4 linked regions of the Saccharomyces cerevisiae S288C genome follow. The protein of the gene in region 4 binds, or shares a complex with, the protein of the main gene of each other region. Each region holds a gene or a part of one and is shown on either strand. Other genes may lie near its edges. The genes, in order: RPB8, RPC19, RPA14 and RPA12.

Region 1 (2,550 bases), on a different chromosome or scaffold from region 4:
GTTTGATAGGCTACGATCCGTGGGATTTACTGAGCAAGAAATCGAACTGCTGAGGCAACAGTTTCGGGCCACGTATGGAGATTTGGAGGAGGAGGAGGAGAGACTTGCTCAAAATGGCAACAGAGATGATGAGGGCCATGACATTAGACAGTTGGAGGAACAGTGGATGGAAAGCGGGAGTGGGACCGCTCAGGGGAATGGGGCCGGAGGCGGCAATGAAGACAGGTTTAACTCTGTGCCGATCGCTAACATAAAGCACAACAAAGACTTGCTTTTAGGTATATGTGTCGGATTCTTCTTCGGCGTCTTTGGTATACTATTAATGAAGTTTGATGGATTGTTCAACAGACGGCAAAAAATGGCGATTTTTGCCGGTGTGATTGTTAATGTTATGTTTTGTCTTGTGAGAGGTTTTTAGTAGTGAGGCGATTAGATGTCGTTTTCATGTACAATAATGATATTATTTTTTTTTTTTCAATTTTTAGTATTTTACATGGCATTCTTACACTTTTATAAAGTATTATTTATATTACTAGTAGCAGTAAGTGATCGCCCTTTTTTTTAGCACTCGGTCCAATGCTGCTAACGACGAATCAAAAGATAAGCGTTCTCTTGCTTCAAGTTATTCAAATTTCTATAGTTACCTTCTAATCTCATTAAGAGGCCACCGAATGAGTAGTAAACGGCAATTAGATCCTTGCTTACTTCCTCAAACTTGTAAGCGGTACCATACATGACGTAATCATAATCATCTGCAAGGGATCTGTCACCAGCCTGTGGAGGTCTCCAGCTTCTTGTCGCAGAAGAGTCGTTAGCTGGGGTGTCTTCGAGGTTTAAAGAGGATGCAATAGTCACTGTCAAAGAATCTTGTGCGGCGACGGGAAACAATTCAACATTTATATCCAAGGTTAGTTTGCATTGGTCCTGAGTGGTAGATGCGGCTTCGATACGGCAGACTTTGTTATAACGACCGGGATCAACTTCCGAGACTTGGAATATATCATCAAATAGAGTGTTAGACATTGCTGCGGTTGTTATGGAAGCAATGAGCTGGCAACTGGGCTTTTATAGCTGCCATCACAGTTTAAATATTCTGAAATTTTTCATCTTAGTTTTCGCTTTAGAAAAAAAAAAATGTGAAAATGAAAGATGAAAATAAGACCTGGAGAAAACCTATCACGTCTGACGAACATGAAAAAACTAAGTCAAAATTTGATACATAATGTCACTAGTATTATGACTGTTTCTGATATTAATTACTTATTATTATACCTAATTATTCTTTTAACCCTTTCTATAAAACAACCAGAAAAAAAAAACCGGAAAGAGAGGACCTCTTGTATTTTATCATATTATCGTATCGCCTCTCTTTCAATGCAAAACGGAGGGGTTCCTCTTTGTTTTGTAGTCCTTGATTGCCGCCTTGATAGCGTCTTCTGCAAGCATGGAACAATGCAGTTTTACTGGAGGAAGACTTAGCTCCTTCGCGATTTCCGTGTTTTTAATTTTAACGGCCTCATCAAGTGACATACCGCGTACCAGCTCGGTCATGTAGGAGGAGGAAGCGATGGCAGACCCACACCCGAAGGTCTTGAACTTAACGTTCTCGATAATACCCGATTTATCATTCACCTGTATTTGTAGTTTTATCACATCACCACACGCAGGGGCGCCCACGATTCCTGTGCCGACATTAGCTAAGGACTTATCCATGGACCCAACGTTTCTTGGGTTTGTGTAGTGGTCAATTACCTTAGGATGGTAAAGTCTTTTGGCAGCTCTTGTTATGTGGGAGCCCGTGAGAGGCTTGAAGTGGGCAGGATTAGCGAGTCTGGCGAACATCTATGCTGTGCTATGTTTGTTGGTGATGTATGAGCTGTAATGAAACCTCAGCGTTGTCTACATATGCTTCTTTTGCTGTTGTTATATACTGCTATACTGCTGCACCGGCCGGCCCCAGGTGCTTATTAATAGTAGGTTCCGCATAGGGAAAAAACGAGGGCGCCAAAAAACGTTGGGCCTGAACCGGACTCTGAAACAATAGAATCATGGTGACTCGGATATATGCAGTATGCTGTGTATCTGTATTATGGGTGTACATATATAAACATCTGACCACTATAAAGTTGCAGTCATAATTCCATACCATGCCTTTCTAGACTGGGAAGGTGCGGACCCTGTAATGAAATAAGAATAATTCCATAGTGGTTTGGCGTTTCCTTTTCCGGGTTATGCTTAATTATTTCTTGAGTTTGTCTGCCTTTTGTTTTTGCTTAGTAACGTTAAGGGGCAGGTTAAAGAAGCGACATGATTGACAGTTCGATGGGTTAAGGTGGAAAGCGAACCCTCTATAACTTACATTTGACTCTTCCATTTGGTTGCAGTTGCCACATTTCTCGAGAACTAGCCTGTTCCCGTTTTATTACCACTTGCATTACGTATTTTCTCCTTTCCTCCTCGCACCAGTTCCCTTCCTTCAGTGATACTGTCGTCTAATATTTGACTGAGTCCCTTCCTTTTTTCTTCATTCTCTTTGGCCATTGTATATGT
Region 2 (2,999 bases), on a different chromosome or scaffold from region 4:
TAGCCCGCCAAGGTCGTATCCTACTGTAGTGAAGGGACCTTTAATTTTTGCATCTTTGATCAATGCGTACCTTAAAGATTCCGCAACCATCGCAATAGAGATTGGGGCGGGAGGAGAATCGCTCAACCCGTACCCTGGTCTATCGTATAGACAATATCTTTGAATTTTGTCTAAATGATATAGTTCCTCAATCCAGGTGGCAGAAAGGTAACCAGTATCATAACCTCCGTGTTCAAACAAGATGATAGGTTGCTTCTTATTTTCAGACAAATCTGTGTTGTTTTCTTGATCAAATACGTCACCATAACAAGTTATATGCAACTGATAGGTTTTAGCGGCATCTACGTAATGGAACGCCTCGTACGAGGGCGACTGAACGGTTATTGGTAATTTGTGAGTCAATCTGTAGGTATCCAATGTCGTTAAAAGTGTATTCAGGGTGAATAAAGCGAAGAATATTAAAATTAAAAACTTAATAGTATTCCTGAACCCAATGGATACCCATTCTGTCAATGTATGTTTGTTTTGGACCAGCTGCGAGCGGTGGGTGGGGGTTGGCGACCCAGAGCCATATTGGCTTCTGTCCCTGTTTTCGGTACTATTTGTATGGTTTTCGTTGAAAGTACTAATATTAGCATCATCAATTCTGCGTTCCTCCAATGGCTCATTTATTGAGTTGTTGTAAAACAAGAGATACCAATCTAATATTGCCCCAATAAAAAATGAAAACGAAGTCCACAAATATGTAAACGTGCCCACAAAGCCGATTCTTTGCCTAGTGTATTTAATTAGATAGGTCAATGCTAGATTGAACAACGTCAAAACACAGAGAGTTACATTTAAGCTGTAATCTAAAGCTGAGTACAGTCCCAGCTTATTAAACCAGAGATTGAAAGAATTAGCTATGATCGAGATGAATATTAAAGTCAAGTCGTTAAAACTTGCGTACCTGTTACTGAATCCGAAAAGAATATTGATATTGAAAAAGAAATCTGAAATCAAAGTGGTGACTAGCCAGATGGTGTTAATTAGAATTAGGATATTTAATATCCATTTGGAGTTATGAATAAAGATTCTATAACCTTTGCGAATTTGAAAGAGACTATCTTTGATGAACCCATCGGATTCAATGTCACGACCTTCATTAACTGCTGGGCCATTCGCGGATCCTGCACCAAGGGTCCGGTGGTTGTTGTTCAGCAACGGTTGCGCTTCTGGGTGTTCACTATCTATATCTGTTCTTTCCATTCCCGTCCTTGCCGGATCATTATCTAAACCATTAGCCTTCATGATCTGTTCGCTCTGATGCCTACAGTTCTTTCTTCAATGGCTTTCCTTTCCTTTCCTCCTTATAGAATATAGCAAGGCATCTAACTTTTAGTTTTTCTCTCATCCCTTTAAACTGCACGATGGTTAAAATTAGGGGTCCGAATAGCCTTGCAAGGAATAGATTAAAGAACACTATATATGCATAGCCACTTCAAAACGTGCTGAGAACATGCCATCAAGGTTGACCAATACGATTGCTGATTCGACAACTTCTACATTACATAGGCATATACATATCAGAAAAACGTGCTTTATAGGTACATTTTTTAATTCCTTAAACATAACTTGCTTCTATTTTGGGATAGTTCCTTTTCTTTGAACTACGTTTTTTGGGCAGAAATATAAAAAAAAACCGAAAAAAACGGCACGCAAGAAAGCTTATTCAAAAAGACGCAACAATATCATAGATTATTCTAAGTACCAACAACGTGATAAACTTTGTTCTAATAAAGCTACATCTTATCTCTTCTGTACAGCTTTATTGGGGTGAATCATATTTACTTCAATCCGGGTAATGGTAAACGTAACAAGTGATAGAAATATTCACCTGCGATGAGCTGGAAAAAAAAAAAATTTCAAAAGAAAACCATACTAATGCTGAGGTATAAAGTAACGAATTGGGGAAAGGCCATCAATCCAAAGTCGGAAAAATTGAACTTCACATAAAGTACCAGGCAAATGACTGAAGACATCGAACAAAAAAAGACCGCTACAGAGGTAACACCACAAGAACCAAAGCACATCCAAGAAGAAGAAGAACAGGATGTTGATATGACTGGCGATGAAGAACAGGAAGAGGAACCAGACAGGGAAAAAATTAAGCTTCTCACACAGGCAACATCTGAAGATGGAACTAGTGCCTCTTTTCAAATTGTAGAGGAGGATCACACGCTTGGAAATGCCCTTCGTTACGTTATAATGAAAAATCCAGACGTAGAATTTTGTGGTTACTCGATACCTCATCCTTCTGAAAACCTATTAAATATCAGAATTCAAACCTACGGTGAAACGACCGCGGTGGATGCTCTTCAAAAAGGGCTAAAGGACTTGATGGATTTATGTGACGTTGTAGAATCTAAGTTTACTGAAAAAATCAAGAGCATGTAGATGTTACGGATCGACTCAAAGACCCTCTGTCACTCTGAAATTTCTAATAATTATGCACACCACGCTAGTATAGATACAGCTTGATTTGTGTATCCCGTTTATAGTCGTGCTATTTAAAATCTATGTATAATATAACCAGATAAAAATACACCTTCGTACAAGGTGCTAATAATGTTGAGAATTCGAAATTCCTTTTTAAAGGCGTATTCCGTATTGAATGATTGAAAAATTTATTTCTTTTTTTATTTCTTTTTTTTTTTTTTTTTTTTTTTTTTACGCCGATGCTCATCGCAGAAAATTTTTCCTTCAGTTTATTTGTCTTATAAAAAGACTGTCCTACGCTCAAATAACTTATACTTTTCTGTATCTCATTCAAATTATTTTCTTGTCAACAACCTGTAACAGAATTAAGCACTATTAAGGCAAATTTAGAGCAAATATGACTTACGGTGGTAGAGATCAGCAATATAACAAGACTAACTACAAGTCTAGAGGTGGCGACTTCCGCGGTGGAAGAAACTCTGATAGAAACTCTTACAATGACAGACCACAAGGCGGTAACT
Region 3 (2,528 bases), on a different chromosome or scaffold from region 4:
GGTGATTTGCCAACAACAGAATGAAACGTTGACCAACGGAACCAGTAGCACCCAAAACACCAGCAATTTTCTTTCCAGCCATTTTAGAACGCTTTATTTCTACAATTTAATTTGTATGTGTACTTAAGTGAAAACAAGAAAAACAAGATTTAATTTTATACTCGAAAGTGAATGAACAAATAAATATGGTTCTTTTATTTATTTTTTCTGCTTTTCTATTTTTCTCTAACATTTTGAACTGGTAGTAGTCAGAGGAAAATGAGTCAATCAATGCTTGACAACATGATTTGGAAAAAAAAAAAGTGTGAAAAAAAAGAAAACCGGGTACTTTGAGGCCGCTGCCGGTGATATTTGGATCTGGAAAGAAAGAGAAAAAAAAGCACTGAAGACGTTCAGATGTCAGAATTCTAACTGATATGCATATATTGTAGTATACAGAAGGCGTATGTGAATGGATATGTAGGATTTTGTGTAAAAGGGCAAGGCTGCTGCTACAGGTCTCACTCATCGGCGAATGTAGTTTTCTTGCCGCCGGTGGCACTAACACCTATGCTTGTCTCCTTCTTCTCCGTCGTGGAGACCTGAATGGGCGCGGCGGAAAAGTCTTGGGCGGGTGGCAGACCCTTGAAGTCTCTCTGAATCCTCTTTAATTGCGATATGGAGCTGGAAAGGTTGGTGTCGATGTTGAGGCTGGTGTTAGCCACAGCGGCAGCGTCCGCGTCAGCGGCGTTGCCGCTGATGGTATTCATGGTAGTACTATCAATAATGTTCTCCTTCTCATCGATAAAGCTCTCCAGAAATTGAAGAACCTCGTCAGTAGAGACATGTTGGGGCAGCTGCGTGGCATGAATGACCACAGGCGTGTTTAGCGTGGTAGCAGTGTTATTACCTGTTCTTCTAGAACCTTTCATCATCTTGTATTATCGAAATCTTACCTCAGACGTCTCCAGTTCTGCTCTGCCTTACCGATGAGACCTCTATAATCAATGTGATTTAAACATATGCATCATCTTGAAGTAAGCTCGAAATGAAAAATTTTACACCCGCAATATGCTTACCCGTCGCTGTTAGATGTTACCCGCCTTTCGCCCCTTAGGGGTTTCCACCGCCCCCCTCGTCCTCTACGGTATTTTCTGGGGCGCCCAGCCCGCCACGTCCCGCCTCGTCTCGAATTTCTTCCTCTGCTAGACGGGCTTCCACGCGCTTCCACTCATTTCTGTCTCTGGTAATGGCCGTGGCCCTTCTCACTTTGGTTGGGCTTACGCTGACAAGTGTCTGTTCGATTCCCTGTATAAATATAAACGTATTCTCTTGAGCCTTCTATCCTTTTGCCACTGTCGTCATCATTTGTTCCTCCTTTTTCGCTAGATAGGTTATATTAAGATTTGTCTTGAATTTAATATCTCAACTCAATCCAAACTCAACCGCTAATACTACCATGTCCCAAGTCTATTTTGATGTCGAAGCTGATGGCCAACCAATTGGCCGTGTCGTTTTCAAGTTGTACAACGACATAGTCCCAAAGACTGCAGAAAACTTCAGAGCTCTATGTACCGGTGAAAAGGGATTCGGCTACGCTGGCTCTCCATTCCACAGAGTTATTCCAGACTTCATGTTGCAAGGTGGTGACTTCACTGCTGGTAACGGTACCGGCGGTAAGTCTATCTACGGTGGCAAATTCCCAGATGAAAACTTCAAGAAGCACCACGACAGACCAGGTTTGTTGTCCATGGCCAACGCCGGTCCAAACACCAACGGTTCTCAATTCTTCATCACCACCGTTCCATGCCCATGGTTGGACGGTAAGCATGTTGTCTTTGGTGAAGTTGTTGACGGTTACGACATCGTTAAGAAGGTTGAGTCCTTGGGTTCTCCTTCCGGTGCCACCAAGGCTAGAATTGTTGTTGCCAAGTCCGGTGAATTATAACCGCTCTGCCTGGAACAATACAGCAAAAATTGAAACGAACTATTCTCTCTTAAATTATATGTATATGTATAAGGTATGTGTATGTATGACAATCAATTCTTATAACTAACTCTTCCTACCTATATCGGAGTATGTTGCCAGGCTTGCCAACTAGCCAACTACCGCCTAGGTTATGCCTGTTAAGTTGACGCCGCCGGGTACCGCCCCCTGTTTTTCCCACGTTTCTTTCTTTCCTCTAGGTAACGGATTTTCGGCTTATTTTCCACAGCGAGAAAATTTTCTTTCTCCTGCACTTTTTTTCATATTCAGGTCCTTTGATCCATTCATTCATTCTTGTTTTAATTTCAATCTAGATTTTAGTTTTCGGTTGAATTTATCTTTAGTTTTTTATCAATAAGAATTGGTCTAGCTTATCTTTCCAGGCTGCTTATAGTTTACTTTTTTTAAAAAATTATATTTCTATCCAATATACAAATCGGAAGGGAAATTCATATACACAAATTAAACGTTCCAATTGCATAAATACCAACACCATACAAAATGGACTCATTATCAAAAAAGATTCAAAATTTAGGTATCCATGATATTAGAAATGCCGCAA
Region 4 (2,671 bases):
AAGATCTTATCTAACCCACGGGGACCCAACGAAGTTTTGATAATAGAAGCTACTGATCTAGCAGCCAATATATGTGATTTCTTGGCCTCTAATCCGTGCTGTCTCTTCTTGTTACCTTGATCCTTCACGATAATAAAGGGTCTACCCATCTCGTCTTGTGCCACAATGGCGTTCGACAGATCCGGCATTTCCATAGGAGGTTGTTGTGGACGAGCAGCCATTTTCAAATATTGCTATAAAAATGGATGATAGCTGTTATTACTTTGAGTTTGTAGCTCTTTATCACGCACACCTCATTTGCCACATCCACCAAGACACTATTATATTTCTAGTTGTTCCTTAACAAAATTTTTCATTCAATGGCATAAATCACTTTACACGTTCTCGAGAACAGTAGATGCGATGAGTATGATAAATAGTAAGAATAATATGATAATGTACGCTATTATATCGTCAGTACATAGATTTTTTGTTTTTATAAATGATGTTCTATAGATGTTCACATGATGAAAGCGGGGATGATATTAATGTACAAATTGTAATATGTGCGAACACAACCCAATCAATTGTTGGTACGGAACTTGTAACCACAGGAAGTGCATGTATAGAAGACAGTAGCACCTTCATCTGCAGATCTTAACTGTAAAGTATGATAGTTCATCTCTTCATTTCCACACTGAGGACACTTTTCCTTGATAGTAGCGCCGTCTTTCAGTTCGTTCTTCTTCAAAGAAGTTTTAACCACGGATTTCTTGGCTCTAAGAGAAGATGGAAACGCATCGTCTGCCGTCGTGGTGACGACTTTTAAATTGGAGAATTGTGACTTGGGATATATGGCTTTACATTGGCTGCATTCAACGTTAGAGCCTAATACGGCATTAGGATTTTCCAGGAGATCACCACAGTCCAAGCAAAAAATTAACGATCCTACAACAGACATTCTTATAAGTACTAACCTGGATTGCTTTAAGCCTTTCTTTTCTTCTTGGATTCTTTACACTTGCCATGCAATGCCCTTCACTTGACATAAATTTGATTTTTTTTTTTTTCATATTTTTCATCTTTCGTTCGTAACGATATATAATTATTTACCCTGCACCATTCAAGAGGGTATATATCTCACTTAACTATTTTTGTTTTATAGCCCTAATAGATATTCATTCGTTGCCCTAGTAAGGGATAACCCTTCTTTGGAAATAAAACCACTTTAGTTTCACACATTTTAAGCATTTCAATGCTAAAAAGTGCTAGTTTACAGCGATAACTCTATCGTGACATTCAGTGAATGCTAATAGACGCAATTCATGGTGCTAAGATGAGCACAAAACTTTTAGTATCACTAAAGGTACTAGTAATTCAACTCAATCCGCAAATTGGGCAAGTAGATCAAACAATTAAGAGAACATGGTCAATATTGGATAAAGTTACGAAAAGTGCCACCTATGTGAAACCAGACATAATACTATTCCCCGAATTTGCATTGACAGGTTACAGTTTTCATGCCAGAAAAGATATTTTACCTTATGTTACTAAGAAAGATGAAGGGCCCTCTTTTGAACTGGCTAAATCAATATCCGAGAAATTTCAATGCTACACTATAATAGGATATCCTGAAGATGATGATGAACAGAAGCTATACAATTCTGCCCTGGTAGTAAATCCGCAGGGGGAGCAGATCTTTAATTACAGAAAGACTTTTCTCTATGATACAGAAATGAATTGGGATTGCGAGGAGAATCCAGAGGGATTTCAGACGTTTCCCATGGATTTTTCAAAGTGTGCTAAGCTTTCTAATGAGGACTCTTACAACAGAGATGTGACTTTGAAAGCATCAATAGGTATTTGTATGGACTTAAGTCCCTACAAATTCATGGCCCCCTTTAATCACTTTGAATTCTCTTCTTTTTGCGTTGACAATAATGTTGAATTGATTCTATGTCCAATGGCGTGGTTAAACTCTACTTCTATCACAGACAAACAGACGTTACATAACAATTCATTATTAGAAGCCGCTAAGAACAAAATAGCTTTCGCTTTAAAGGAGCAAGGGTTGCCTTTGGCAGGATCTCAAGGAATTTACCAGCTTAAAATTGGTGATTCGCAACGTACGCCCAGAGTGCCTTCTGACGACAGTACAAGTGAATATAAGGATATGGATGAACCAGATATGTCAAACGTAAACTACTGGATTCTACGATTTTTTCCTTTTTTGTACTTTAAATCCAGAATTAATTGGTTTAAAAATTCATCTCTTATCGAAAGCATTTTGGGCAAAACTAGAATGCCCCTAGATCATGAATATTATAAAGATGGAAAGCACAAGGAGGACACAATAGACTTATTGGATTCTGAGGAAGTGATAAAGGATACAGTACTGGAAAAGACATTTTTGGGAACCTCCCTTGGACAGCCTTGGAAGTTCCAAGGAAAGAATGCGATTTTGGTGCTAGCTAACAGATGTGGTACTGAAGATGGTACCACGATTTTTGCAGGAAGTTCTGGCATTTATAAATTTAACGGTAAAAAACCTAAAGGTTCACAGGATGATGATGAGAGTTCGCTTGATTCTCTCAATGAAAGCGTAGAGTTGCTGGGTAATTTGGGCAAGGGTCTAGAAGGCGCTATATTGCGTGAGGTCCAATTTGAAGTGTTTAGGTGAAGGAATATTATA

What was found.
Region 1: RPA12 (region 4) and RPB8 share a complex: the UniProt entries of both Saccharomyces cerevisiae proteins name them as parts of the RNA polymerase I (Pol I) complex.
Region 2: RPA12 (region 4) and RPC19 share a complex: the UniProt entries of both Saccharomyces cerevisiae proteins name them as parts of the RNA polymerase I (Pol I) complex.
Region 3: RPA12 (region 4) and RPA14 share a complex: the UniProt entries of both Saccharomyces cerevisiae proteins name them as parts of the RNA polymerase I (Pol I) complex.

Annotation. Positions count from the first base shown.
Region 1 is NC_001147.6:760,243-762,792, forward strand, and holds RPB8 (DNA-directed RNA polymerase core subunit RPB8), read right to left. Parts: upstream 1,024-2,550; coding exon 583-1,023; downstream 1-582. Other genes in the region: DSC3 (Dsc3p), read left to right, coding at 1-418; putative iron-binding protein ISU2, read right to left, coding at 1,372-1,842. UniProt on the Saccharomyces cerevisiae protein: DNA-dependent RNA polymerases catalyze the transcription. of DNA into RNA using the four ribonucleoside triphosphates as substrates.
Region 2 is NC_001146.8:410,764-413,762, forward strand, and holds RPC19 (DNA-directed RNA polymerase core subunit RPC19), read left to right. Parts: upstream 1-2,007; coding exon 2,008-2,436; downstream 2,437-2,999. Other genes in the region: YNL115C (uncharacterized protein), read right to left, coding at 1-1,290; DEAD-box ATP-dependent RNA helicase DBP2, read left to right, coding at 2,876-2,999. UniProt on the Saccharomyces cerevisiae protein: DNA-dependent RNA polymerases catalyze the transcription of DNA into RNA using the four ribonucleoside triphosphates as substrates.
Region 3 is NC_001136.10:767,911-770,438, reverse strand, and holds RPA14 (DNA-directed RNA polymerase I subunit RPA14), read right to left. Parts: upstream 915-2,528; coding exon 501-914; downstream 1-500. Other genes in the region: HOM2 (aspartate-semialdehyde dehydrogenase), read right to left, coding at 1-82; YDR157W (uncharacterized protein), read right to left, coding at 107-508; peptidylprolyl isomerase CPR1, read left to right, coding at 1,439-1,927; ENT5 (Ent5p), read left to right, coding at 2,468-2,528. UniProt on the Saccharomyces cerevisiae protein: DNA-dependent RNA polymerases catalyze the transcription of DNA into RNA using the four ribonucleoside triphosphates as substrates. Component of RNA polymerase I (Pol I) which synthesizes ribosomal RNA precursors.
Region 4 is NC_001142.9:553,464-556,134, reverse strand, and holds RPA12 (DNA-directed RNA polymerase I core subunit RPA12), read right to left. Parts: upstream 941-2,671; coding exon 563-940; downstream 1-562. Other genes in the region: chaperonin-containing T-complex subunit CCT5, read right to left, coding at 1-221; NTA1 (amidase), read left to right, coding at 1,286-2,659. UniProt on the Saccharomyces cerevisiae protein: DNA-dependent RNA polymerases catalyze the transcription of DNA into RNA using the four ribonucleoside triphosphates as substrates. Component of RNA polymerase I (Pol I) which synthesizes ribosomal RNA precursors.